Linked DNA regions of Xenopus tropicalis. The protein of the gene in region 4 interacts with the protein of the main gene of each other region in a biochemical or structural test. Links are inferred from orthologs where the notes say so. Each region holds a gene or a part of one and is shown on either strand. Other genes may lie near its edges. The genes, in order: chuk, smad4.1, cul2, cops5, cul4a, mif and cul3.

Region 1 (3,500 bases), on a different chromosome or scaffold from region 4:
CCCAGTTTTACCAGTGCATGGCCACAGTACATTATATTTCCATTACTTTAAAACACTTTAATTTTTTGGTATTACTGTTCCTTTAAGACCATGGTTGCCTCCCTGGTTTATCACATATTTTGGTCTTGATCTTATGTCAGTGATGGTTCATCCTTGTGCATAGTTTTTTGCACTGTTTCTCCAATGTATATGCCTCCTGTACAGAGCTTAGTACATATAATCATGTACACCACATTGGAGGAAGCACAAAAATAATAATGGTGTAGACTTTTTGTGTATTTAGTATTGCACAGGATGTATTTGCAAGTTTCTCATTAGTTGCTGCTGCAGGAAAATGCTTAAGTTGTCCTTTAAGATGCAGAAAGGGTTTTGTGGAATTCTCTACCAGAGCTAATATGCTGGCAGATACATTCAGTAGTTTCAAAAAAGGGTTGGATGCCTTTTTAGAAAGTGATAATATACAAAGTTACTGAAATGTAAGTAAATTAAATTGTTTACTTGACATCAGGAAGAAATTGCCCCTGAGGCAAATTATAGAGGTTTTTTCATCTTCCTTTTGTTCATCTTGCAGTTAAGCAGGTTTCAGGTGGGCAAACGTGTTGAAGGGCTTGTCTTTTTTTCTCCCCTCAGCATAATTGTAGACAAGATAGAGACATGGTTGCAGCTTTTGTTAAACTGGGACCCTATACAACGGGGAGGAGGAATGGACTGCGGTCGTCCACAATGTTTTGTGCTAATGGACCAGATCCTCAACTTGAAGGTAAAAACAATATCAGAAGTTCTTTGAAAAATATGTGATTCATGCTTGTGTTGCTCATCAACACTTTTTACATTTGAGTGTGGCTCACAAGTAAAAAGGTTGGGGATCCTTGTGCTGTTGGATAATAACAAGAACGTAACTGTTGTTCTGTGACACTTGGAGGCCCACCTAGTTGAAACTGATATAAAAAAGGTTACCAAGGCCAATGGAGCAGCTCCTTTGTAGCATTAAATATGTTATTATTATAGTGTATATAACCCTATTTTTCCTTCCTGTTTCTTAGATAGTTCACATTTTGAATATGACATCTGCCAAGATTCATTCTTTTCACCTGCAACCTGAGGAGAGCCTACACACCCTGCAGTCTCGCATTGAGACAGAGACTGGCATTAGCACATGTAATCAAGAGTTACTTCTAGAGATGGGGGTATCCCTTGATCCAAGAAAACCAGCATCCCAATGTGTTATAGATGGAGTGGTAAGGTTTTTATGGAAGAATATCAGAATGACCAAATCAAACGCTAGGTTTTAAATTAAAGTTATAAATTAAACGCTTACCAGCCTGAGATCATATAATATGCAGCTCTGTCCATCAAGTGCCTGACTGCCAGTGCCACAGATTTTATGTTTTTTTTGTTTATTCTATGATCTGTGCTTCACATCAGAGCAAATGCATTACATCATATGCTTAAAATGTGAGGGAGGGGGGAAAAACAATTTAAGGCTTCTTCGGAAATGTTTCCAGGTTGGTTTTCTAAAGCCATCTATGTTTTTGATACAAATGATCAAAATAATGAAATATTTCTATTGGTCAGGACAGCAAGATTCCTTTAACCCTATCAGTACCAGTAGATTTTCACATTTTATTTGCACTTCTACGTCCCTCCACCCAGCTGCAAGAATGAACAAGAATGCTGCCAACCACAGATAGCGCTGTATTCATGGGGCCAAATCAAAAAACGGAGACCCTGAGCAAATATTCTTTATATAGGGCAGGTTGCAAAGTAAACAAAGTATGAGTGATTGTGTCAGTTTTTGCACCCTGCCTTGCACATAGTAAATAACCTTCATAGCACCCCCCCCCAATTAAAATATGTACATTTTTGGCTTTTTTTGTTTAGTCAAATAAAACACTGTGAAAGATATGAGTAGAGGCCACAAAATCATGTGAACAATCATGCCATTTCAGCTGTTGCAAAATAGCTTTAAAGCCACAGGTAAGGCCACAAAAAAGTTAATATTTCTCCCACGCGTCATATTATGCCAAGGTAAACATCCTGAATATGAATGTCAGGGGTCTTTGGACCAGTTTGATGACCAATATGCATAGAATTAAACAACTATTTCACATGTAGAGATGGCAAAAAGTAACATGTATATACAAATTTCAAGGCTTGTATTTTTAGCTATGCTAAACTTTGTGGTTTTTATGAAATTTCTAAAAATAACAATTAGGGAACAAACCCCATGGCTCTGGCCGGCCCTGATAAGGGAGGATCAGCCCATACCTGAAAAGCCAGGTGTTTGTGCACAGGGGGATTCTGGGTCCCACAAGTGATGGAAGGAGAGCCCAGAAATAATGTTTGCTAAGAGGGCCTAAAGAGGACTACTGCTATTTTTCTAGGGCTTTTTGCTTTTTTTTTCTTGGTTAATAAAATGTAAAATGTGTAAATGTGAAACATGCATTTTAAGAATTAGAGGAGAACCAAATAGTAGTTGTTGTACACTGGTAAGTAAATACAGTTCTTGCCCTAGCCTAGATGATTCAACTAATCATAAGTGTTTTATCTCAAACTATATAATCCCTTTTGTCTTTCCCTGCAGAAAGGATGGGATAGCTATATGGTTTATTTGTTTGATAAAAGCAAGACTGTTTATGAAGGACCATTTCAGTCAAGAAGCCTCTCGGAATGCCTTAATTACATAGGTAAGTACAGATATCGGCAGAGATGCTACATTTACACATAGACTGACATTCATGAAGGCCATCCACAGGAACAGAAATTTTGATTGAGTGTTTAGATACCGGGTAATCTTGTTACCTAAACAGTGTACAAGTTCCAGTGATGTGAAAAAATAAAAGGAATACAAATGTATATAACCCTTAAATGCCATGTTCTGTGGATATATGACACAGAATGTAGATTCTACGGCCTGCAGCACTTCCTGTTATCCCCCTGTTGCTCCCCAGCCCCGAGACATCAAGCTGTGGTGGGGAACAATTGGCCCCTGGGGTGTGATAAGGCTAGGGGCCTTAGATGACAGCAGACACATGGACACCACTTTACTGCTTTTGTCTTCATGGGGTAATTAACATTAGTGATTTTTATTATTTAACATCAATAAAAATGCTAATAAAATGTAGGCTAAATCATTAAGCCTTCTAATGTACAGAAGTGAAATTACACCATTCAGGCAGATGTAGAAAGATTAGGTTGCCCTGATGAAAAAAGCATATAGAGTTTTCCTAGGTAAAAACAAGCACTCTGCCTGGGTGTTTACTTTAGTAAAGGACATTATATTGCATTTCCTACCTGTGGTGGAAAGACAATCATTGCTAAAGTTATGTCTGATGTAGTTTAGCTCAAGAAATAAAAAACATTTTTCATGATTAAAACATTAGACAAAACATATCTGAGGCAAACCCTATTGATTGAAGTCATGTTGAACTCATGTTAGAAATAGTTTATAAATGTAAATTGGAAACTTACCTCTTTTTGAATTGAGATTTTCCATTTTA
Region 2 (3,947 bases), on a different chromosome or scaffold from region 4:
GTGCCATGTACAGGGGCTATATTCTCTGCAGTCAGGGGGCCCATATAGGTGCCATGTACAGGGGCTATATTCTCTGCAGTCAGGGGCCCATATAGGTGCCATGTACAGGGGCTATATTCTCTGCAGTCAGGGGCCCATATAGGTGCCATGTACAGGGGCTATATTCTCTGCAGTCAGGGGGCCATATAGGTGCCATGTACAGGGGCTATATTCTCTGCAGTCAGGGGGCCCATATAGGTGCCATGTACAGGGGCTATATTCTCTGCAGTCAGGGGCCCATATAGGTGCCATGTACAGGGGCTATATTCTCTGCAGTCAGGGGGCCATATAGGTGCCATGTACAGGGGCTATATTCTCTGCAGTCAGGGGGCCCATATAGGTGCCATGTACAGGGGCTATATTCTCTGCAGTCAGGGGCCCATATAGGTGCCATGTACAGGGGCTATATTCTCTGCAATCAGGGGGCCATATAGGTGCCATGTACAGGGGCTTTATTCTCTGCAGTCAGGGGCCCATATAGGTGCCATGTACAGGGGCTATATTCTCTGCAGTCAGGGGCCCATATAGGTGCCATGTACAGGGGCTATATTCTCTGCAGTCAGGGGCCCATATAGGTGCCATGTACAGGGGCTATATTCTCTGCAGTCAGGGGGCCATATAGGTGCCATGTACAGGGGCTATATTCTCTGCAGTCAGGGGCCCCATATAGGTACCATGTACATAGAAGCTTTTTGTTTTTTTAAGGGCCCCATTTTACAGGGTTCATCACCTTTGGGGCCCAGGTGACTGGAGGGTTAATACTTGAAGCCGCATGATTACTTTTGACGGCCCTGGCTGCTGGTTTAGGATTGGCTGCTGCTGTACTGGCACTGTGAGACTAAAGCAAAGGGTTAATAATATAAATAAAAGGCAGAGGCTTTCCCAAAATCAAGCAGCAGGCCTGGGAGCGTAACCAGCCCCGTTAGCAGAAGCAATCCAGTAAGCAGGGCTTCTTCCAGAATGCAGCACTACTGCGCTAGTAAGGCCCCGCCCACAGACTGGCAATTCCGCCCTGTTCTAATACAGCCACGCCTCTTTCCCTAACTAGCCTTTTCCTTTCTCCACGCTTCCCCGCCTCCTCCTTCCCGCTCCATGCCGGCCCCGCCCACCCCCTGCTCAGTGGCCCGGATGTAGGCTGGATCGCTGCTGCTGTTGCTGCTGGTACGCAGGCGCGGCCCGTATCTGGGGGTTCTTGTTGTCCGCGGCCTGGGCCGCTGTGGAGCGGGCGGGGGGTGCCGGAAGAAACGGAGCTTTTCTTCACTTCGAATTCGGTAAGGAAATAGGCGGGAAGGAAGGGGTTGCTCCGGGCCTGGGCTGGGAGTGTAGTTCCCAGGCCGCCCGGGGATTAGCTGCCTTGCCGCTCATGGAGAGGGAGGGGACGGGCTGAGGCTCCGGGGCACAAACACTGGAGGCGGTGAGGCGCTTGCCTATCTTACGGGCGCCTTTAAAGCTCCTCTTTTCCCATAGGGGCCTATGGGAGTTACGGTTTGTCAGCTCTTACACATATCCTGTGCGGCTATTGTTGTTGCAGGGGATGATGGGAGTTGTAGTTCAGTAAAGACAGAGAAGCCCAAACCCTTATAGTGGTTTCCTAATTCACCTCTTAGAGGTTGGGGATTTGATTGATTGTAAGCTCCCTGGCTGAGGCTGATATGTACAGGAGGGTTTATTGACCCCTAATGGTTCCCAATAACCATGGGGTTATTTTATTGCTACTAGGGATGGGCAGTGGCAGGTAGGGATGGTCAAACCGCCTCTCCTAATGCTTTCCAATGGGTAGAACAGGAGACACAGGGAGAATATACAAATATATATATATAATGCCCTGACTGGGATCGAACCTACAACCCCAACACTTACCCCAGTGATTACTGGACAATACTGCTGTAGGACTCGGTAGCTGGGGCACAGAGAGAGGTTATAGGAATATCTGAGCCTAGCTCCCCCCGCCCATAAACCAGGCCACTGTGGGCTGAAAGGGACTGGCAGGTTTAGGTTTACTTCCCCTTTAAAGAGAATAGTAAGCCTCTAGGAAACATTGCTTCCTTTCAACGCTCTTATGGCATAGGGCTGCTGCCTAGCAACTAGTCATATGTTCCAATGTTAGACTGGATTGTAACTAGGAGTAGTTTTATTTGGCGGATGAGGCCTCTTGCAACAATGTAGCAGAAGTTGATTTCCTCCAGATCTATCTGCTGGCTTCTTCTACATTATTGTTATTAAAGATTATCATAAGGGATAATGTACCCCCTACTGTAAATGATAAGGATATTAGCAGTCACTGAGGGGTTATGTGCCCATATAAAGGCACAAGGCTGCAGGCTGAGTTATACAGGGAACTCTGAGTATCACTCATGTATTATAAGGGATAATGTACCCCCTACTGTAAATGATAAGGATATTAGCAGTCACTGAGGGGTTCTGTGCCCATATAAAGGCACAAGGCTGCAGGCTGAGTTATACAGGGAACTCTGAGTATCACTCATGTATTATAAGGGATAATGTACCCCCTACTGTAAATGATAAGGATATTAGCAGTCACTGAGGGGTTCTGTGCCCATATAAAGGCACAAGGCTGCAGGCTGAGTTATACAGGGAACTCTGAGTATCACTCATGTATTATAAGGGATAATGTACCCCCTACTGTAAATGATAAGGATATGAGCAGTCACTGAGGGGCTCTGTGCCCATATAAAGGCACAAGGCTGCAGGCTGAGTTATACAGGGAACTCTGAGTATCACTCATGTATTATAAGGGATAATGTACCCCCTACTGTAAATGATAAGGATATTAGAAGTCACTGAGGGGTTCTGTGCCCATATACATCGAGCCAAATGCAAAAAAAGACATATAGTGTCACTGTGTCGGTGAACACCAAACCATTGTCAGTTGGCAGATCGATGGGGATGTTGGGCTCACAGGTGGTGCGGCTGCATTGTGCAACCATAAAGCAGAGCAGCTGGGGGTTAAGCCGTGCAGGCACCTTAATGTCTCTGCGCATGAAGCGATGTGATTGGTGGTTCTGATTCCGTACACAATGTTCCTTTGCTGAAATTCATGATCCAGTTCCCCCCCCTTCTGTGAAACATTATATCTGATGCACGGATTAAGCGCCGGGGCTCAAGCTGCTTCTTTTAACAGTCGTTGAGGAGACACCATCAAGGCATATTATTAAATACAGCCTCATTCTTAGCATGCCAGCCGGCGGGCCGCTATCCCATCTACCATCATTGGATTATACACAAGCACTATACTGGGCTGGCAGATTGCTCTGAGCCTCCGTGCTGTACTGATATTAGTACCGGTGTATGCAAGATATCTCCGCCTGGTGTCTGCAATTCTTCTCTATTATTCATACTCTATGCCCTAGGGGGGTTACACAGTTCTGTATCCTTCTACCAGAACAGATCTGTGCATTTAAGTGACAAGCACATATCAGTGTAAAGCTGGGAATTAGGGATGCACCGAATCCATTTGGCTGAATAACGAACAGATTGCTAATTAGGTTACGGAAGGGTTACATCTTCATTAGCAAATGCTTATTAGGGTACGGAAGGGTTACATTTTCAACTTCCGTGTTTACGTGACAAAAAGTCACGTGATTTTTTGAATTTGGTTCGTCCAGGAGCATGGATTCGGCCGAAAGCAAATCCCGAACTGAATCCTGGATTCGGTGCAGCCCTACTGGGAATACACGTAGAATCTGTAATGGTCTGAACATTTTGGCTCCCAGTCCAACAACCAAACCATAATAGGGGCCCAACAGGATTCTGTAATGTGGTGGCCAAACTGGATCCAGATATCAGTCAGACAGGCCAGCAGGAGGGCTCCATATATTGGCTAATATGGGGCTGACTTGATCTGGAGGGACTAAAGGTGGCCATACACAGTAAGATCTGCTCACTTG
Region 3 (3,500 bases), about 98 Mb from region 4:
TAAACAGATGGGGAATTGGCAATTGTAGTTTTAAGATTGGTCTGACAATACATATAGGATCTTTTAAACAATACCACAATGATACCACACAGTGCTTTTATTGTGGGCGGATGAATCATGCAGTGGTTGTGCATGTGACTGGGTGAAAGTGAAGCTTTGGTATTGCCTGTGTAACTGTGTGGCTGTATGTGTGTAAGTGGAACTATATCTGGTGCCTCCACAATGATGCAATGTTGCTTGTGCTTGTATAAGTGAATGATATTTTCTGTGTGCCTAATGGGGCAGCTACATTTTGCTCTTGCCTGTGTAGATGTGTGCAATTGTGGCCATAAAGACGCTGCTTACACCGCCTATTGAAAACATTCTTGCGTTATCAACATACTGTGCTTTATTACAGTTTTATCAAGAAATATTTGAGTTGCCTTTTCTGGCTGAAACAGGGGAGTATTATAAACAAGAAGCTTCAAATTTATTACAAGAGTCAAACTGCTCACAATATATGGAAAAGGTAAAGAAAAGTAACAGCCTATGTATTTTTATTGTGGATTTATTAAAATGTATATTATGCTTTCTGTACAATTTATAGGAATTAGTAAGGTTTACCTTACAACTCTGGAACAAAACCATAACAGTAATGGGAGTTAAAACCAATGTAATATTTGGTCAGAGTATTCTTTTGCTCAGAAAACCATAGCAGCCAACCAGATGTTTATTATTATTCAAGCCACAGTATGAATGTAAAAGTTAATTGCTGTTTTGTTGTTATAATTTAATGGAGTGGGGCAAAATTAAAAAAATAATATACTGTTTACATGCACTGGCAAAAGTTGTATGCTTGTCTTAGAAGCACTACTATAGCTTATAATATAATAAAGCTGTGTAGCCATGTGGGCATCCATTCAAGTTGAAATAGGGCTAAATGGCCCTTTTATATTTTGCTGTTACAGGTATAGGACCTGTTATCCAGAATGCTCAGAACTTGGGATATCTTTATATGATTTGGACCTCTATATTTTAAGTCTGCTAAAAATTAGTTTAAACATTAAATAAATTCAATAGGATTGTTTTGCCCCCAATAAAGATTAATTATATCTTAGTTGGGATCAAGTACAGAGAAAAAGGAATTCAGTTTTAAAATTTTGAATTATTTAATTAAGATGGAATCTATAGGAGATGGCTTTTTCCGTAATTTGTACTAATTTGTAATGCATCCCATACCTGTACTGGTCCTTTAAGTACATTGGGCAGCCTTTTTTTTTGTGTGTAAAGGGGAAATTATGGAATATTTAAACTTCTATTAAGTGGAGTGGGAAAACTATAGGGGTTGGTCTTGATCCCAGGGGCAGCAAGTACAAGAGCGATATCAGTTTACAGGTGTCATTGTCCCATTATAACAGCTTTTTCTAAGGAGACTCAGATTAAGTTGCAGAACCCAAACATGAATTTTAAAGCAATCACGTACCTTGTTTTTAATACGTTTTTAAAGATTTCTTGCACATTATTATTTATTATTTACGTGCAGATTTTAGGTAGATTAAAAGATGAAGAGATTCGATGTCGAAAGTATTTACACCCCAGTTCATATAATAAAGTGATTCATGAATGCCAGCAGAGAATGGTGGCAGACCACTTGCAGTTTCTACACGCAGAATGTCACAATATCATCAGACAAGAAAGGAGAAGCGGTAAGCACTGAGCAGTTATTTTTTCTTTTGTTTTAGGTGAAACCATTTTCAGTTTCTCAGCCTTTTAGCCATCATCATAATATATGCTTTGGTTGAGAACTGTATTATCAAAGTGGCTTATTATGATGTTGCTAAGCTTAGGTCAGAAATGGAAAGTCTTTTATTCAGCAGGGGTAGTGTTGATAAGCTAATACTTCTCTTTTAAAGAACAGTAACTCCAAAAAAATTGTGTTTTAAAGTGATTATAATTAACTTTTGCCTTGCACTGGTATTTTTGCTTTAGAAACACTAATATAGTTTTTTTTATAAATAATCTCTGTAGCAATGAGGGAGGCTATTCAAAGGAAACAAAAGGCTCAGATTACATAGCAGATAAGTTCTGTAGAATATAATGGTGTTCTACAGGGCTCATCTTTTATCCGCTATTTAAATCTGTGCCATTTAACGCTATTTAATTTTTAGGTCCCTGTATCAAACAGCTGGGGTGCCCTAGTCCTAACGGGAAATTTTAAAATTTCCTGTAATTCTTTCAAACTTACCTTATTGTATTTACTTTACTCCTTGTGTCCTGCAGCCTCCTTGAATGGCAAGATATATTGTGCTCTATATTGAATGTTGAAAAGTGGGCTTTAATTTAAGGGGATTATAAATATTTTAGTATTTTAGTGTAACAATGCCACAGAGTAAAATTAGTTTAAAAAACTGTTTAAATGTTAACTCGTGATTGTTACAGTTATCACTTTGTGTCACATTATTTTCTGTGGCATTGCAGATATGGCCAACATGTACACTCTTCTCCGTGCTGTATCCAATGGTTTACCTCATATGATTCAGGAACTCCAAAACCATATCCACGATGAAGGCCTTAGAGCTATTAGTAATCTTTCTCAGGAAAACGTGAGTAACCATGAAGCCCTTGATAGCCGCATAAATACTAAATGAGCAGTAGGGATAAAATATGAAGGAGCAGAGCCACGGGCTATAGCCTGCACCAATTGTTTGCTGCTACTTGTACAGGCAGGCATAACGCCCTGTGTGCCATAGACCATAGATGCAGAGCTCCCTGAAAGAGGGAAAAGGAAGGAAACGAGGAAATTACTTCCCTGCCTGACATCTTTAAATCTGCCACACTCATCATTGGATCAGACAGTTGAAAGATATGAACATGTGGCCAAATTCCCCAAATTATCATTTTAAAAACTAATGCGAAACAAAGAGTTAATCTGGCCATATTATACCATAGTCCAAATAAAAAAAAAAGGGTTTGGATTTTAAAGGAATATATCTGTTTATGTACTTTATCTTTAAGTAGCAATAAGAATGAAAATGCCCAAGTACACAAAAGGCCAGCACCACAGAGTGCCACATGCTTCCTGACAAAGAAACTTAAAGAAAATGGCTAATTCATACCGATGAAACATGAAATGAAATGAATTATGGGGAAGTTTTATTTAATCTTTTACATGCCAGCTGGGTTTTATTTATTACATGGTATATTATTAAGACTATTTCCCATTAGAATGTGATTGCTCCAAACTGTGCACAATGAATGTTCCCTCTTTTTCAAATGGCCTTGGGTCAGTATGTCACTAAGTACAGGGAACACTAGCCAGTGCTAATCTCAGATCATTTGTAGTTGCCATTCATGAATTTTTGTATTTTTATAATTCATTTAAATGTTTTAAGTTTTTTTTTTCTTGTAGTTCTCTTTGTGTTTTTTTATAAATGTTCCCTTTTTATCTTTCAGATGCCAACTCAATTTGTGGAGTCAGTCTTAGAAGTTCACAGTAAATTTGTTCAGCTTGTCAACTCTGT
Region 4 (3,500 bases):
GCCCTCTAGTAGGGAATATCTGTGCCTTTAAAGATGCCCCGCATTCAAACAATTTCTACCCAGGTGCACGGAAAAAAACATAGAATATATTATATATATATATTCTATATATGTATTTTTCAATATATAATTGATTGTTTGCAATAGATCCGGTGTTGCTGGTCTTTTTTTCAATATCTAAACTCTTTTACCGTGCACCTGGGACAAGGATTGAAGCGGTGTGCCACCCTTGGTTCGATATATATATATAATATAATGATAATATAATTATAATGAGCATACCACTGGCCATAAACTCCCAATGGGAGTTTATGGCCAGTGGTATGCTCATTATAATTCTCCTTATGGTGTTTGATATTGTTTTCTCCTTGGTACAGGGTTTCTTTTCTTTTAATTTTGACACATGACTGGAATGACTTGTGCCATTGGGTGTGGGTTTGTGCTTTTATCTATTTATAGCTTTGATGGTTGTTACATGTTTAAGGTCTTGACAAAGGCCCAAGATGGGGGCCGAAACGTTGACCTATTTCTCCATGTATTAAGTTTTATATAGTTTAATAAAAGCTAACTTTTAAAGGATTCCCAGTGTGCACCGCTATACCTGTGGACTCTATTGAAATTGCTTGAATCGGTAGCACCTGGGTCAATTAGCCACTTGCTAAGGAGTGCTGAACCCTCTTGGTTTGTGTGTATATATATATATATATATAATATATATATATATATATATATATATATAGTGTATTATAAATTGTGTTAAAGGAACAGTAATACCAACAAATTACATTTTTTTAACTAATTAAAATATAATGTACGGCTGCCTTCATTTGTAAAAACTGTGTATTTGCTTGCTGTGTGATCATGGGGGCAGCCATTCAAGCTGTAAAAGTAAAAAATTGCAGGCTATATAGCAGATAAACTCTGTAGAATGCAATCGGTTTAGCTCTTACTCAAAAAGATAAACGGACAAATGCCTTCACAACTTGTAAATATTTAAGTCCTATATCAACAAATACTTTACAAACTTTAAAAGTAAAAAAAAATAAAAAGATGTTTTAATTTTTTGGTGTTACCTGAAATAAAATGACAGAATTTGGCAGCCAATCCTTGTTTTTTTTCTTCACAGGTTGGAAGACTTGAAAATGCAATAGGCTGGTACCACAGTCACCCTGGCTATGGCTGTTGGCTTTCTGGCATAGATGTCAGCACCCAGATGCTTAATCAGCAGTTTCAAGAACCCTTTGTTGCAGTAGTGGTGAGTACAGTATTACTATAACGTCATTGCAGATTATTGATACAACAAGTTTTTTTATTCCAATTTTCATTTCTTCAGATTGATCCAACAAGAACAATATCTGCTGGCAAAGTTAATCTTGGTGCATTCAGAACATATCCAAAGGTGAATGTTAATGATATTTAAGTTTCATATTACTTTTAATTGTAATTTAATCATTACTTGGCATATAACAAGGGTAAGATTATTATGGCTTACATCTACTTGCTTTTAGCCAAATATGAGACAGATCACACAAACAATGAAAATATGCACTGTTCCACTCCAGGCTAACCTCACTGCTGGATATATAGTCCATGTAGCAAACACTCAATTCAGTACATTCATAGGGTCCTTCACCTTGTTTTACATGTCTTTCTAAAACTTTATGGCAAATGAACATACTCCCTTCCCTGGTTTAATGACACCAGTACATTTTGGCATAAAAGATACAAAATCAATACTTGTCACTATATGAAAGTAGCTACAAAATCATGACACTTCCTTTTTTGGTTGTGCCATATATTTGTCCTGGTGAGCTACAACTCACTCAAACACATATTTACTTAACATTTAGCTGATGTGAAAAATAAACAGGAAAAAGTAAAGTAAATCAACTCCTTGTTTTGCAATTCTGATGGATGACCTTCTTGTTGTAGGGCTATAAACCTCCAGATGAGGGTCCGTCAGAGTACCAGACGATTCCTTTGAACAAAATAGAAGATTTTGGGGTGCATTGTAAGCAGTAAGTAATTTTGTAGTGGAAACATAAGAAACTAATATATTAAAAAGGAATTACAAGGCTAAGAAAAAGACTCTTAAAAAAGAGTCCTAAGCTTCATAGTATGGCTTATAGGCAGGGCACAGAGCAATTTTATGGTATATCCAGTTCAATTACAGGCTGTGAATCTTTGCATGAGTATATATATTAATGTATGCTTTACAGTATCTTAGATTTTATTTCACTCTCCTTATAGCTGCCAAACATGCATTAGTATCTTAGATGTATGTAACATTATTGGTATTGCACCTAAAAACTGTGTTAATTTTTAATTCCTCTCCTGTGACCCTAGATTTAAATGTCTTTAGTTAAGCTCGTCATTTTTTTATTGGAAGGTAGCTATGATCTAACATTTGTCTTGTGTTGGGTACCTTCCTAAATGTTACTCCACCTGGGGCAGTTTAAAAACATTCCATCCATTGGCCTCTGCTTGCTTCTCCCTTTGTACTCATATGCACTGTGTTAGCTGGGTACAGATGCACAGAGTGGATTTTAAAATGCATACTCGCATTTTTGCACTGAAATCTGCTCTGTGTGTCTGCACCTAGGCTACAAAAGTGCCTGTCAATGCAGACAGAGGGGTGAGCAGAGACCAGCAGAGCATCTGTTTGTAGGCCTGTGTTTATACGCAGGCCAGGAAACAGCTCCGTGTTGCACTAGCCATATTATAGATTGTCATACAATTTTCCTAAACCACAAGGAATACTGTCATAGGAAAACATGGTTTTTTTTTTCAAAATGCATCAGTTAATAGAGCTTCTTCAGGAGAATCCTGAATTGATATCCGTTTTCAAATGCACAAACAGATTTTTATTTATATTTAATTTTGAAATTTCACTTGGGACTAGCCATATTCTTCATTTCCCAGCCAGACACAGCCATGTGACCTGTGCGCTGATAAACTTCAGTCACACTTTGCTGCTGCGCTGCAAGTTGGAGTGATATCACCCTCCCCAGCAGCCAGTCAGCAGAACAATGGGAAGGGAGCAAGATAGCAGCTCTCAGTAGGTATCAGAATAGCACTCAATAGTAATAAATCCAGCTTGGATTGGGATGGGAGTAGGAGAAACAATAGGTTACCTGAAAGCAGTTCTAATGTGTAGTGCTGGCTCCTTTTGAAAGCTCAGACTCGGGCACAATGCACTGAGATGGTGCCTACACACCAATATTACAACTAAGAAAATAAAATAAATTTGTTGGTTCAAGAATAGAATTTTAAATGGTTGAGTGAATTATTTGTAAACAGTGTAATTTAGAAATAAAAAGTATACCATAAAAATCATGAAAGTATACCTTTAAGAATATGATTTCTGTTTGCTTGGACATACCAATCTTTTGAAAAAGATTCTTAAACAACTTCTAGGTCCTTGCTTGAACTATAAGTAAACTCCAGGTTCATATCTGGTTTATATAATTAAGTTTATAAACAGCTCATTGCTTACTGTA
Region 5 (4,250 bases), on a different chromosome or scaffold from region 4:
AGTTACAATTTACATTTTTTTAGATTAGTCACCCACGACAAGGAAGATATGTCGCACGGCGACTAATCTCCCCATGTGTCACAGAACTATAATAAAGATGCTGATCTTCATGCCAACACACTTTACTGCTCCAATATGCCTGTCCTCCCATCCACTCCACTTAATGTGTCCCTTTTCACAGCTGTACAAAAACAAAAGGTAATAACTACATTACTATAAGGAAGCCTACAAAAAGCTCCAAATCTACATCTAATCTCTATGTAATGGAAAAAGAGGAGCACAGCCTTAAAAATGATTTCAATGCCTGAGTGCCAGTAATGCTTAGTTCACAGCACTCTGCAGGTTTTTTCAACAACACTAATAAGTGTATTTATCAATGGGAAAAGTACATTATTTGATAAATACGCTTCTAAAAATCCCAAAAGTAATGAATGGAAAGTGGGTGAATTTTTCTGTGGTAAACTTCTAATTTCACATTTTGATAAATCTGCCCCTAAAGTGTGTTTATTGGTTCAAAGACCTGATGCTTGTTATTAACTATATCCACTGTCCCTTGAGAAGTATCTATAATTACAGGAGATATTAAAGACCACCATCACAGTTAAAGGATGTGCTATGTGCTGCTCCCCTGCTGCTGTTCAACATTAAAGGACAAGGAAAGACAAAGTCACTTGGGGGTGCCAAAATGTTAGACACCCCCAAGTGACTTTAATCGCTTACCTTGTACCCCGGGCTGGTGCCCCTGTTAGGAGAAAACAGCATCAGCCCGGGGTACGTGGAGTGATGCGCTTCCTCCTTCCTGCTACTTTTAGCTGCGACTATGCGGTAGGCGCATGCGCGGTAGAGTGAAAAGTCGACTTCTTTGTTAAAGTTCAGCTTTTTCACTCTTCTGTGCATGTGCGCGCAAGCGATCAGGAAGGAGGAAGCGATGCAGCTACCCCGGGCTGGTGCTATTCTCTCCCAACAGGGGCACCAGACCGGGGTAAAAGGTAGGCGATTAAAGTCACTTGGAGGTGCCTAACATTTTGGCACCCCTAAGTGACTTTGCCTTTCCATGTCCTTTAAGACTAATGGCACAGAGGTGTTTGATCATTGGTGCCCTCAGAATAGCTGCAGTCCAATGGTCCATCCCCTCCTGGCAGAACTGAATGTAAAGCTGGCCATACACACACAGATGATATTGTACGAAACCTCATTCGATGCATGTATGGTGGATCAACGAAACGACCGATGGTCGCAGGAAAGTTTAGAATTGCTACGTGTATGGCTCCATTCTGAATGTACATAAAACGGTGACAGACCTTGCAGCCTGCCAGAAGACTCAGGAGAAAGTAATAGGACATAGGGCATTTTCGCCACTGTTACTCTCTGAAGGAGAACAGTCACAGTCAAAATACCCATCTCCACCTGTCACTGCTCTTAATCTCAAGCACCCTGTTTAACATACACATAGCAGATATAGGCGCTTCTGCTCTTAACTGTTTTGGTGCACTGGTCTGCCTGTCACTACTCTGTGCCCATCAACCATGGCACTTCTGCTGAAACTATCTAGCAGAAACCAGCGGATTAAAGCTAATAAAAAAAAACATAGTTCTAAGCAACCAATATGAATTTATTAAAATGTTTTTGGTGCTTTAAAAGTTATTTGTAAGTACAACTGAAGGCAGAATTTGCTTAACTGGTGGCTATGCCTTTTAAAAACAATGCTGAAAAGCCAGTCTCCTTCAGCAAGACAGGTCTGTCTATCTGCTGGATTATGTTATATTGTTTCAAAAGCCACAGCCACCTGGGCAGTGAATAGAAAAGGACAATAGCAATAATATCTACAAATAACTTAAAAACCATTACAAATTTGTTATGAATGCATATTACAAGGTTGCTTAGAATTATGTTTTATTTTATTAGGCAACATTTATTTTGGGTTGACATGTCTTTTAATAGACTTAGAAAACTGACCTGCTACACTGGCTCAGGAGTCAATATCAGCCAACAGAAAGAGACACACAGATATTGCATTAAATAGCACATACATTTAAAACAACTTGAAATGTTAATGTAAACTGGAAAGTATATTTTACATGGCATTATTAGGGAAAAAAACAATTTATATGAGGATATCCCCATTAAAACGAGCAGAGGTGCCTCAGGTTGGACAGATCCCATGACTTCCTTCTTTAGGTGATCACCTAGCCCTCAACGCCAAAGCCAAGTACTGCTGCACAAGTGATCAACAATGTGAGGCTTTTCAGAAACTGTTAAATTTCAGAGGTCAGCGGCCATTAAAGGCACCAAGGTCCTGCAACTACGAATGCTAGCGCTTACAGAGTTGTTAAACACAAATAAACACATAGAGACGGCTGGGGCAGCCGCCTGGGGCCCATAGATGTAGCAGGGAGGGGGGCAAGGCCGGCCCAATCACCCACAATTACAATCAAAATAGCAGCTAGTAATGTTACACAACATATCCCCCAGGACTCTTTAGCTGCCGCTGATTTTCTTTGCAGCAATGACTTACAAACAAACGCTCGACTTCCGGAAAAGGAGCAGTTTAAAGGTGATCCCGAAGTCTTAAAAAAAACATATTGAGTGCAAATGTGATGTCACAGCCACGTGACCAAGAAGTGGAAAAGAGAACATGATGTCACGAAGGGGCGTGTCTAGCTGCGGTTTACATCAAGGACCCGCCCACTATGAAACAACCTGAGAAAGCTGCTGTCAGAATGGAAATTGAGAGATATGCCACAGAGTGAGTGAAATGTTAACATACATTTATGAGGTTACCTGTGTAATTAAAATGGCGTTCCATATAGCGGCTGGAACTATCACCGGCATTAGCCGCTGATAATATGTACAGTCACTTCCGGGTCAGGGGGCACAATAGCCGGTTTCCGGGGGAGTTAAGCGAGAGTAATTTTGTCTTTGCAGGAGCACAATTGTGTAGGAAAGCGAAATGCAATTTTCTTACTTAATTTGTTGTTAAGATATGAATGTTTTGCTTTTATTTTCAGGGTAAGTACATGACACCATCTCTGGGCAGGTTGTATTGCGCGCTTGAATGGAAACTCACGTGTTTCTTGGTCAGTGTTTAATGCTTTAGGCTTTAGGACAGTAGTCTTCACAGTAAGGATGAAGTTCTGCAAAGGGGATGACCAGTCCAAAACTGTCATTTTGTGTAATGTGAGAAAATGTAATCCTACACAACTTTCCAATACATTTAAATTGAAAAAAAAGTTTTTTTAAATAATTGTTATCGAAATATGTATTTGCTACTCCTTTCTATTCTTTACACTCACTTCTGGTTTAAACTTTTGAGTTTGTATTAGGACTACCACTCTACAGAAAATTCCAATTTCACAAAAAAAAGTTACTACTATGGTCTTAGTCTGGACTCTTCCCCAATTCTCTCCCTAATCCTAGAGTGCTGGCATTCATTACATTAAAATTCATTGCCGACACATTTTGCTCATGGCAATGCATATAGTATTTATGCAACCTTTTTAACAGTTGATACATTCCATCTTATTCTTCTTAGTCTTCTTAGAAATGAAGCAACAAATGTAGCAAATTGTAACACTGTAGAGAGCCTGCATCTTGATTTTGAGGCACTACAGTAAAATACTATATAAAAAGATTTACATTTAAAATTAAAGGGGTGGTTCAGTTTTGAATTGAGTTTGGTTTTAGCAGCTATCTGGTTTCTAGAGTCCAAATTACCTTAGCAACCAGGGAGTGGTTTGAATGAGAGGCTGGTATATGAATAGGAGAGGACCTATTCAGTAATAATAACAAAATTGTAATCTCACAGGGCAATAGTTTTCTGAAAGCTACAAAAGGTTAGAAGAAAACCGCAAATAATTAAAAAAAAACCTATAAATATTGAAGACAAATTGAAAGGTTGCTTAGAATTGGCCATTCAATAACATACTAAAAGTTACCTTAAAGGTTAACCACCCCTTTAAATCTTACAAAAAGTTAAACAATCTAATTGTTGACGATGTGCGTGAAAACAAATTAATGGAAAAACGGTTTCTAAGGCAAACTACCCTTTTTAAACAGTAGTATAGAATTTTTTCTCAGTGTTTGATGCTGTCACTTTTAACTCATTGTAGTTGTAATATTCTGATTGAACACCCTTTTGTCAAACTACAGTGTGTCTGTATTAACTGGAAACAGTGTAAATGTTAACCCAGTTAAAAAAAATAAAATAAATAATTGTTGGAAGATGATGCTTATCCTACAAGACTGGATTT
Region 6 (4,262 bases), on a different chromosome or scaffold from region 4:
CGGAGGAAGCGCTCGCTGCTACCCCAGGCTGGTGCTGTTTTCTCCATACAGGGGCTTACAAGGTAAGCGATCTAAGTCACTTGGGGGTGCCTAACATTTTGGCACCCCCAAGTGACTTAGCCTTTCCTTCTTCTTTAAAGAGAATGACACATGGGGAACGGGGTAAAAGCTCTGGGACTTGTACTCAAAAGTCAGGAGAGAATGGAATATACAGAGAAAGGGAATGGCACTTAGACTGGCACACAGGAGTAAGGAGGAGAAAAAAGATCTGATTGTGCTTTAAATGGCACTAAGAGGATATAGAGGGATTGGCACATTAGATTTGGGAGTATGGAATAGACAACAGTAGCATAAAGAAAGCTGCTTAGTTACATAAAACTTCCTAGTTAGTTAGGCTGAATTAACATGGAACTCATTCCATGGTACAAATGGTTCCAGGGCAGCTGCCAGTTAAGCCTCACATGGGGAAAATCCTTTCTGATGCCAAAATACAGGCCCAGACTGGCAACCTGTGGATTGTGGCAGTTGCCGGAGGGGCTACTGTAAGATGCCATAGACAGTTACTATTAAGTGGGCTGGTGGGGGCTGTTTGGGCATGTGTCTTAAAAAATGTCAGGGCCTATTTTGAATCCCAGTCCAGGCCTGGTTGTAAGACCCCCTTACTGTAAAAAGACCCCCAGAAAAACCACATATTTTTGGAAAGGACACATTTAGATCAATTTCAAATAGCCAATAATAGTCTTTCTACAAATATGTGTGTGTATATATATATATATATATATATATATATATGTGTGTGTATATGTGTGACATGATGCCCCAAGTGAAAATAGAACATATGAATTTTCTCATGTAAGAAACATGCTCCTACATTAATCCCAGGACTATTCTGAAAAAGAATAAAATGTGAGTTGCAAGGATTGGAGGGATGAAGTTTAAACTTCCCCTCCAGCCCATCCAATTCCCATGCAGCTTTACCGGGGCTTAACATCAGTGCCCAACAAGCACAGGGAGGGATGTGTAGGGGAAAACGCCGGCACCACATCTCCCGCCCTCCCTTCTTAAGTCCCCAATCTATCCGAGGTGAGGGGGCCCCTACTACGATCCAAAAATCTCACCCCCCCCCAGTTATAGCAGCCTGTCTACACGTAACTATGGAATTGAATGACAGCGCTGCCAGAAAGGGCTCGTTAGTCCCGTAAGATCCTGTGCGTGCGTACCAAGCTGCAGAGAGGCGCAATGCCCGACTATGCAGGCGGCATAACTAAACACTTGTACCAACACCTCACCAGAACAAATGCAGGAAATGTGAGTGACAAACCAAGCGTCTACCTCACTGCTTTAAGGTGCCGTTAGAAGCACGCCGATTGGTTGACCTGGAAAAGGGCGGGACTGGTACCCCACGTGTTCCGTCCCTTGTCAGTGTTCGATCCGTTCTCCATCTTTGCGTCTTCCTTCAGTTAGCTGCTTCATCATGCCTACGTTCACCGTCTGCACTAACGTCTGCCGGGACTCCATGCCCGATACCCTGCTGTCCGATCTCACCAAACTGCTGGCCAAGGCTACGGGCAAACCAGCTGAGGTGCATGGGGAGGGAGTGGGTGCGGCGAGTCATTCCACCGCTAAAACACGGGGGGAGATGATGTCCAATGATCGGGCCTCAAGCTTTAGCTGAACTACAATGTGCACATTCATGGAGGATACTGTGATTTGTGGTCCAAGCAGATAGAATATCAGTGTATTTTATAATAAAAAGTAGTCAGTGCACTGTTTAGGTTTACAGGGTACAGGTGGCGCTTCCTCCTCCCCATGAGTCGGGCCAAACCACCATTAATTAAAGGGGGCACCAAGAACATGTACTGGTTATATGCACAAGGAATGAACCTATAAAATGTGCTTTTGAACTAAGCTGTCACCTTAAGAAATAATGTAAAATTCTTTAATATCATGTTAGTTCAGAGAAAAAACTTTACTTACACTACATAAATAATTCAGATATTGTTTCCTTTAGTCTTGGAATTCACAGTAAGCAGGCTGGTGCCATTTTGTGGACACTGTTATTAAAGAGGTGATTCACTTTTAAGTAAAATGTTAGTATGTTATAGAATAGCCAATTCTAAGCAACGTTTTAATTGGTCTTACCACTACTACTTTTCAAAATATTAATGTATGTAAAAAGTTCCCTATAGGTCAAGTTGATCATTTTTCACCGACAGGTTTGCTTTTGTAAGTAATTGTTACATAAACTTCCTAAACCTGACTGTTTTGCCAACCTGACTGCCCCTTCTCAGCCTGTCAGTTATAGCTTCTAATGCTAATGTGCTACTGCTGCACAAATATGGCAGCCCCCTTATACAGGAACATGGGGGATCTGATAGGGAATGTAACAGCATTGGGCAAATAGGTTTAAGGTAAATTTATAAAGCTCATGCAAAGACAATGTTAATAGTAATTGTTGTGCCTGAGGCATGAGGGGGGGGAGGGGGGCTGGCATTATATGATTGACAGCTTGGATTTTTAAGGACATTAATAACAGGTATTTGGGTTTTATTTGTAGAGGAATGTTATTATACAGCTTATGTGTTAGTGACATGTCCCCTTTAACCCAAAACCCTAACTAGCACCAACCCGCTGTTAGCTGCTGTCCCACACTGCACAGGAGATCCTGTGACTTCAAGCACTTTGCACTGTTGGATGCTAACCAATCAGCAGCTAAGCAGACCCCACAGGGGACTGTGGTTTAACTTTATATATGTAAAGGCAGAGCTGTTATTGGCTTCCCCTATCCTATTGTGCTGCTGGGGAAGGACCATTATGACACACCCATCATTCGTTTGTAAGATAGGGAACTTAGGATGCTCCAATAAAGATATTTTTAAAGGCATTGATTCATTTTAGCCCAGATTGAAAGCAGTTGTAATGTTTTTTTTTTTTTTTTTTGTTATCACTGCATGCATAAATAGCTGTGTGTCCCCTTTAATACACCTGCTATCCCACAGGACCCTGTGACCCTCATGTTTCTCCTCTGCAAGTTGTTCATCCTAAAGCAGAGAACAAGATCCATGGCTTTGGGGATATAATGATGAAGTGCTTGCAATGGTGCTTTTTACCAGAATGCTATCATCATAGCTAACCTATTGTCTCCTCTGCAGTACATTGCAATTCATATTATGCCTGATCAGATGATGAGCTTTGGTGATTCGACTGATCCTTGTGCTGTGTGCAGCCTCAGCAGCATTGGAAAGATAGGGGGGCCACAGAACAAAAGCTACAGTAAGCTGCTCTGTGATTATCTGACAAAACAGATGAACATTCCTGCTAACAGGTAAGCACACTGACCACTAGCCATGTTGCCTCTTATTCAGGTCTATTATTCCTTGTTTGTTTTCCATGCACACCTTTTCTCCACTTTCTGAGAAATGCTAGAAAATGCCTCTGCTGCACACCATTCAATAAATTGGCAAGCATGTGACAGTGCTGGTACTGGTAAATCATATTCAGGTAATTGGAATGTATCCCCAAACGCTTCTGTAGCGGCAGATATACCATATACTGTATACCCTAGCTGCAAACAACAGGATCAGTATGAATTCTCTATTGAGAAACTCCCTTATGCCTAAAGCAAGTAGCTCTGCAACCAATCAGATATTTTTATTTTTGCAACTAGTCTATTAGAGCAAATTTTTTTATTTTTGTATATTTGGAATGCTCCTAGGCACAACCAGGCAGAAAAAATGAAATTAGTTAAGTCATGCAATTAGGTGCAGTGAAACCTGCATCCAAAATACATGAAAAATACTACCAGTAGTAATAGCACTTGGGGAAAAAAACTGGCCAAATATGGGCAAGAGCATTGAGTTGCCCAAGTGAGCACACATTCTCTGTTCTGCTCAGAGAATATCTAGAAAACACAAGCTGTTAATAGGTCCAGTAGATATGTTTAACCGTTTGTGTGCCATTTGCTGTTTGTTTTGCATTTAATGCATGTAACGAGTGGCAGTGCAATTAGAGTAAGCATTTAACCAAGCTCACTGGCAGAAGTTTCTGGCAGTTTTATGGCAATTGTAACAACACTTTGCTCGTGTTGCCATCAAATTCTTTTTGATGTAACGAAAACTCATTTTGGTACAGGGTAGTAAAAAAAAAAAAAAGCATCTAAAACTGGAGTTAAAGGGCATGCGAACCCAAAAATTAAATTTAACATAATTAAAAAATAATAAGCAGCTATCTAATATACATTCTTTTCAAATTTATTAGTGGTT
Region 7 (4,297 bases), on a different chromosome or scaffold from region 4:
TCAATTTACTGTTTGGAGTGCAACGCAGGAAATGCCAGAAAAGAGTTGATTAAACTCTCACCTCAATGACTTCAGTCATTTACACAGGAGAAAGGTGTGCTAAATATCTTATGCCCCCCAAGCCTTTAAAGAGACATTTCCATTGTATACAGTTCCACAACCAGCAGGCAGTTCTTCATGGTCTAACAGCTTCCCTGTTTTAGTTACAAGTCTATTAAAAGAGGCAAATAAACATTAAACCCACATCTCACTCTTACTTGCCTTCAGGCTTGGCTTCCAAACACCATAACAAGGTTATATAACAGAAATGTACAAGCATTGGGTTAATAATCACCCTGCTAAAGCTCCAGATCAATTAAACACTCACCCCGGATTTTACTCTCTGGTCTTTAGGCTGCCCCCCTTAGCTTAATAACAAGGTCCCACAAAAACTGGATGGCCTTAATTATTTTCATGATGGTGCACTATAGTGACAAATTATTATATTATGAGTATTATTATATTAAAGGAACAGTAACACCAAAAAAATTAAAAGTTTTTTAACATAAATATAATGTACTGTTGCCCTGCAGTTGTAAAACTGGTGTTTGCTACAGTAACACTACTATAGTTTATATAAATAAGCTGCTGTGTAACCACGGGGGCAGACGTTCAAGCTGATAAAAGAAAGAAAACGCACCGGTTACATAGCAGATAAGCTGTGTAGAATATAATGGGGGTTTATCTGTTATCTGCTAAGTAACCTGTGCCTTTTCTGCTTTGAATGGCTGCCCCCATGGCTACACAGCTGCATTCCTTATATAAACTATAGCAGTGTTTCTGGGGCAAACACACCAGTTGTACCAGTGCAGGGCAACAGTACATTATATTGGAAATGCTTTTATACAATGTTTTGGAATTTCTGTTTCTTGGGAGAGTGGGCATCTTAACATGAGTCTAGCCAAACTAACGTTAATTAAGTCAAAATCAATCTATTTCTTTAATATTGCATGTTTACTTGAAGCTACTTAGTAACCCTATCCATACACCTACGGTAGGTGTGACAAATTCGTTGTATGGCTAGGGTTCCCGGGTTCCAGACGGTACACATTAGTGTCTATATACGCATTACCACCTAAAGAAGCATAAGTGACGACAGGCGTTTTGTATATATACGGAACGCGTCAGCCTCCACGTACGAACTGCGCTCAGAGCGTCACATGACGTCACTTGTCAACGTTCCACGGATTACGTCGCTGTCGCCGGAGCCTGCGCAGCAATGTATGCGCGATGTAATAAAGTTTATTGAGACGAGGTAGGGCTGCGGCTTAGTGACAGCGCTCCGACCGGGGGTGGGAGGAAATGAATGGAAGGGGCGGGGCTGGGTATGGAAGGGCGGGGCTTGTTTGAACTCTCGCGACACACACCCCATTCCCAGGCTCCTCCCCTCGCCGGCCTTGCTGGGAAAGGGATGTTTGTCCGCCATCGCGGAGGAGTTTAGTCAGCGCTGGGTGTTAGGGCGTTCGTATAGTTTTAGACCCCCCTGCAGCCCCGGGGGCCGCATTGAAGGGAGACCAGACTGCCGTAAAGGAGCTCCCGCCGGGTCGCTGACAGGCCGGGCCCGGGGCCTCCTCACACCTACACCCGCCGGGGGGAGACAAGGAGGGGCCCCGGGGCCGAGTGTGAGCGAACAGCCGCCAACATGTCGAACCTAGGGAAAAGCACCGGCAGCCGGAAGGATACCAAGATGAGGATCCGAGCCTTCCCGGTGAGACTCATAGGATACTTGTGGGCAAATCCCCGGGGGCCACATATGGATGGCAGTGTAAATACAGGAGGCGGGCTATAAGTGTCACTAGCTGTGACATCCAACCTATCATCCTGTAGCTCCTCTTCTACCGGATATCCCAGCATCCTCTCCGAGCCAAGTGCAGAGCTGCTAGTGTTTGTGCACAGGTAGCACTGCATTGTAAACATTGGCTGCAATGTGCTTCCAATAAAGGCTCTGTGAGCTGTATGTATGGCATGGAAAGCCCATTGCCTCTGTACAGCTGTGCTAGCTGTGACTGGATCATTTCATCTAGCTGCCTGACATCTGTATGGCCATGAGTATGGGATGCCCAAATTCACACATTATTTATACTAAACTACTACTCCCAGTATCATCTGACAGCGAGCCCCATTGCAGTTTACCATATAGATGTGTATCATGAGCCCCCACTTAAATAAACTAGACAGGGATACCCAAGTAGCCATCCTATAGCCAATACATGGAGCATATCAATGCCAGCTGGAGTTGTGCTTCAGCAGGTGGGCTGCATTAGTTGCCCTGACCTGTACAAATGCATGAGGCCGCTTGCCAAAAGATATATAGACTTGAGTTAATAAAAAGCAGTTCCACCCCAAAACATATTAATAAATGAAGAAGTCATTGTTAGAAACTTGCCATTAGGGTGAAGACACATGGAGCAACTTAGTAGCAGCTACTAGTCATGGCTAATACATGTAAATGTAAATGATCAGCATTGTCTGTTTCTGTAGCCATGACAAGTGGCTGCTACTAGTAGGTCTGTGTGTCTTCACCCTTATAGTTTTCTGTTGTTTATAAGGGTGAAGACACATGGAGCTAATAGCTGTTACTTGTCACGGCTACAACAATAGACAATGCTGATTATTTACCGATACATGTCTCTACGTGTGGTTTAGCAGAGGCAATTCTCAGTATTGTCTATGGCAGAGTATTTTCTGGCATTTACTAGCCATGACAAGTAGCTGCTACTTAGTAACTCATTGTGTTTTCACCCTAAGCTTTTTTTAATCTTGGTTAAAAGTAGTATTTGTTAAGTCCTTTGTGTAGCCTAGTTCTGACTCTTGAACAATGTAGCAGAAGTCTGTTTTCCAGGTCTTTTAATCAACTACTTTCTGTTGAATTATTTCAGGTGTCCAGCAGAGGAAAGAATATAAACTGAAATAGAAAATACTTTACAAACGCAGAAAAAAATTTAATATTGGAAAGTTGCCTCAAAATATAGTTATACAAAAAGCTGTTTGTTTTTTTTTTGGGCATATTTCCACTTTAATAATGTGTACTTAGTTCAGGACTTATGCAGTATATAAACAAGTATTGTACATCCCAGGTAACAGCATATTACAAGTTAGTCATTTATTTCCCTGTTATGTTCTTCTTAAAACCAAAAATTGCTTGGATGAATATGTATATTCTAAGCATGTAAAATATATATGCATTATCCCAGCAGATCATCCACTGTTCTCTGACAGTGTTTCCACAGCTCCTTGTAGCTGCACTGATGGGCAGTGTAGCTACGGAGTGTAAATCAGACTGAGAAATGCAAAAGCCTACATTTTCAGGCTGTTCTTTGCTTGGTGTAGCTGCACTTGGTGGATACACTGGCTGTCACCATAACATTAGCAGTCAGTAAATAGACATTCAGGTTAGAAGATTTGTATGGAATGCAGTAGTGATTTCCTGCCATTTGTTGTTGGTCACTGATCTATGGTTTCGCCAAAGAGAGTGGAGTATTATCCAGTCTGGTGAATATCCCTACACATAAAGATATGCACAGTTATGTATAATGCCGCTTTACAGTCATTCTAATCAGAAGCCAAAACAATGCTGATGGTGGGAAACTGCAGTCCATGCATTTGGCACCTATTGCCTCACTCGCTGTGGACCCTTTACCTGGATAGTCAGGCAGTGAACTCCTTGGGGCATTTTTGTAATGGCCTTCCCAGCCCAATCTGTCCCTCAGATGTCACCTGGGGACACAGGTATAAAGGCATAACATTCTGAGTACATGCTTCCAGTGTTAACTTGGTGTGCAGAGACCTGAGAGTTTATATTGATTTCAGATTTGGAGCTGCTCTTATAGCAGCAAGGTTGTAAATTGGTTGTTAGATGAAGGAAAGGTATTTAATCCTGATCTGCTCATGAAGATATGGGAATGCCAGTGCACACTAAACTAGGCAGTGCACCTGTATGCATGCTTAAAAGAACATTGTACTGGCAGTTCTACAATTAGTGATTCATACACACAGTTGGCAGGCAGTCTCACTGAGCTAAGCAAGCAAGAGAGTTTCCATTCTAAATCTATATCTTGGTGAAGCCAGCCAATTACCTGTTGCCTGAACGTTCATTTACTGTTTATTTAAATGTTTATTTAACATTTAAATTATTTTTGGTATGACTTTGTAGCAGACCAAAGGTATGGTGATCCAAATTATGGAAGAACCTTATCCAGGAAACTCCAGATTCTGTGCAGGTTATATCTTGGTGAAGCCAACAAATTGCATTCTTCCT

The links.
Region 1: of the proteins of cops5 (region 4) and chuk, one has a biochemical effect on the other in vitro, tested with the Homo sapiens proteins (2 studies listed by BioGRID). The link is inferred for Xenopus tropicalis from reciprocal best matches to the Homo sapiens genes COPS5 and CHUK.
Region 2: the proteins of cops5 (region 4) and smad4.1 form a complex in vitro, tested with the Homo sapiens proteins (2 studies listed by BioGRID). The link is inferred for Xenopus tropicalis from reciprocal best matches to the Homo sapiens genes COPS5 and SMAD4.
Region 3: of the proteins of cops5 (region 4) and cul2, one has a biochemical effect on the other in vitro, tested with the Homo sapiens proteins (3 studies listed by BioGRID). The link is inferred for Xenopus tropicalis from reciprocal best matches to the Homo sapiens genes COPS5 and CUL2.
Region 5: of the proteins of cops5 (region 4) and cul4a, one has a biochemical effect on the other in vitro, tested with the Homo sapiens proteins (5 studies listed by BioGRID, with this or other methods). The link is inferred for Xenopus tropicalis from reciprocal best matches to the Homo sapiens genes COPS5 and CUL4A.
Region 6: the proteins of cops5 (region 4) and mif form a complex in vitro, tested with the Homo sapiens proteins (2 studies listed by BioGRID). The link is inferred for Xenopus tropicalis from reciprocal best matches to the Homo sapiens genes COPS5 and MIF.
Region 7: of the proteins of cops5 (region 4) and cul3, one has a biochemical effect on the other in vitro, tested with the Homo sapiens proteins (2 studies listed by BioGRID). The link is inferred for Xenopus tropicalis from reciprocal best matches to the Homo sapiens genes COPS5 and CUL3.

Annotation. Positions count from the first base shown.
Region 1 is NC_030683.2:110,575,717-110,579,216, reverse strand, and holds part of chuk (inhibitor of nuclear factor kappa-B kinase subunit alpha), read left to right. Parts: intron 1-630; coding exon 631-760; intron 761-1,043; coding exon 1,044-1,238; intron 1,239-2,584; coding exon 2,585-2,687; intron 2,688-3,500.
Region 2 is NC_030677.2:205,056,866-205,060,812, forward strand, and holds the start of smad4.1 (mothers against decapentaplegic homolog 4), read left to right. Parts: upstream 1-1,147; 5' UTR 1,148-1,310; intron 1,311-3,947. UniProt on the Homo sapiens protein: In muscle physiology, plays a central role in the balance between atrophy and hypertrophy. When recruited by MSTN, promotes atrophy response via phosphorylated SMAD2/4.
Region 3 is NC_030682.2:21,665,161-21,668,660, forward strand, and holds part of cul2 (cullin-2), read left to right. Parts: intron 1-397; coding exon 398-508; intron 509-1,522; coding exon 1,523-1,685; intron 1,686-2,457; coding exon 2,458-2,582; intron 2,583-3,432; coding exon 3,433-3,500.
Region 4 is NC_030682.2:119,213,253-119,216,752, reverse strand, and holds part of cops5 (COP9 signalosome complex subunit 5), read left to right. Parts: intron 1-1,126; coding exon 1,127-1,255; intron 1,256-1,333; coding exon 1,334-1,399; intron 1,400-1,932; coding exon 1,933-2,018; intron 2,019-3,500. UniProt on the Homo sapiens protein: Probable protease subunit of the COP9 signalosome complex (CSN), a complex involved in various cellular and developmental processes.
Region 5 is NC_030678.2:116,032,484-116,036,733, forward strand, and holds the start of cul4a (cullin-4A), read right to left. Parts: upstream 2,801-4,250; 5' UTR 2,782-2,800; intron 2,747-2,781; exon of another isoform or gene 2,651-2,746; intron 2,624-2,650; exon of another isoform or gene 2,516-2,623; intron 1-2,515. UniProt on the Homo sapiens protein: Core component of multiple cullin-RING-based E3 ubiquitin-protein ligase complexes which mediate the ubiquitination of target proteins. As a scaffold protein may contribute to catalysis through positioning of the substrate and the ubiquitin-conjugating enzyme.
Region 6 is NC_030677.2:153,040,493-153,044,754, reverse strand, and holds the start of mif (macrophage migration inhibitory factor), read left to right. Parts: upstream 1-1,462; 5' UTR 1,463-1,474; coding exon 1,475-1,582; intron 1,583-3,152; coding exon 3,153-3,325; intron 3,326-4,262.
Region 7 is NC_030681.2:123,779,709-123,784,005, forward strand, and holds the start of cul3 (cullin-3), read left to right. Parts: upstream 1-1,497; 5' UTR 1,498-1,681; coding exon 1,682-1,747; intron 1,748-4,297. UniProt on the Homo sapiens protein: Core component of multiple cullin-RING-based BCR (BTB-CUL3-RBX1) E3 ubiquitin-protein ligase complexes which mediate the ubiquitination and subsequent proteasomal degradation of target proteins.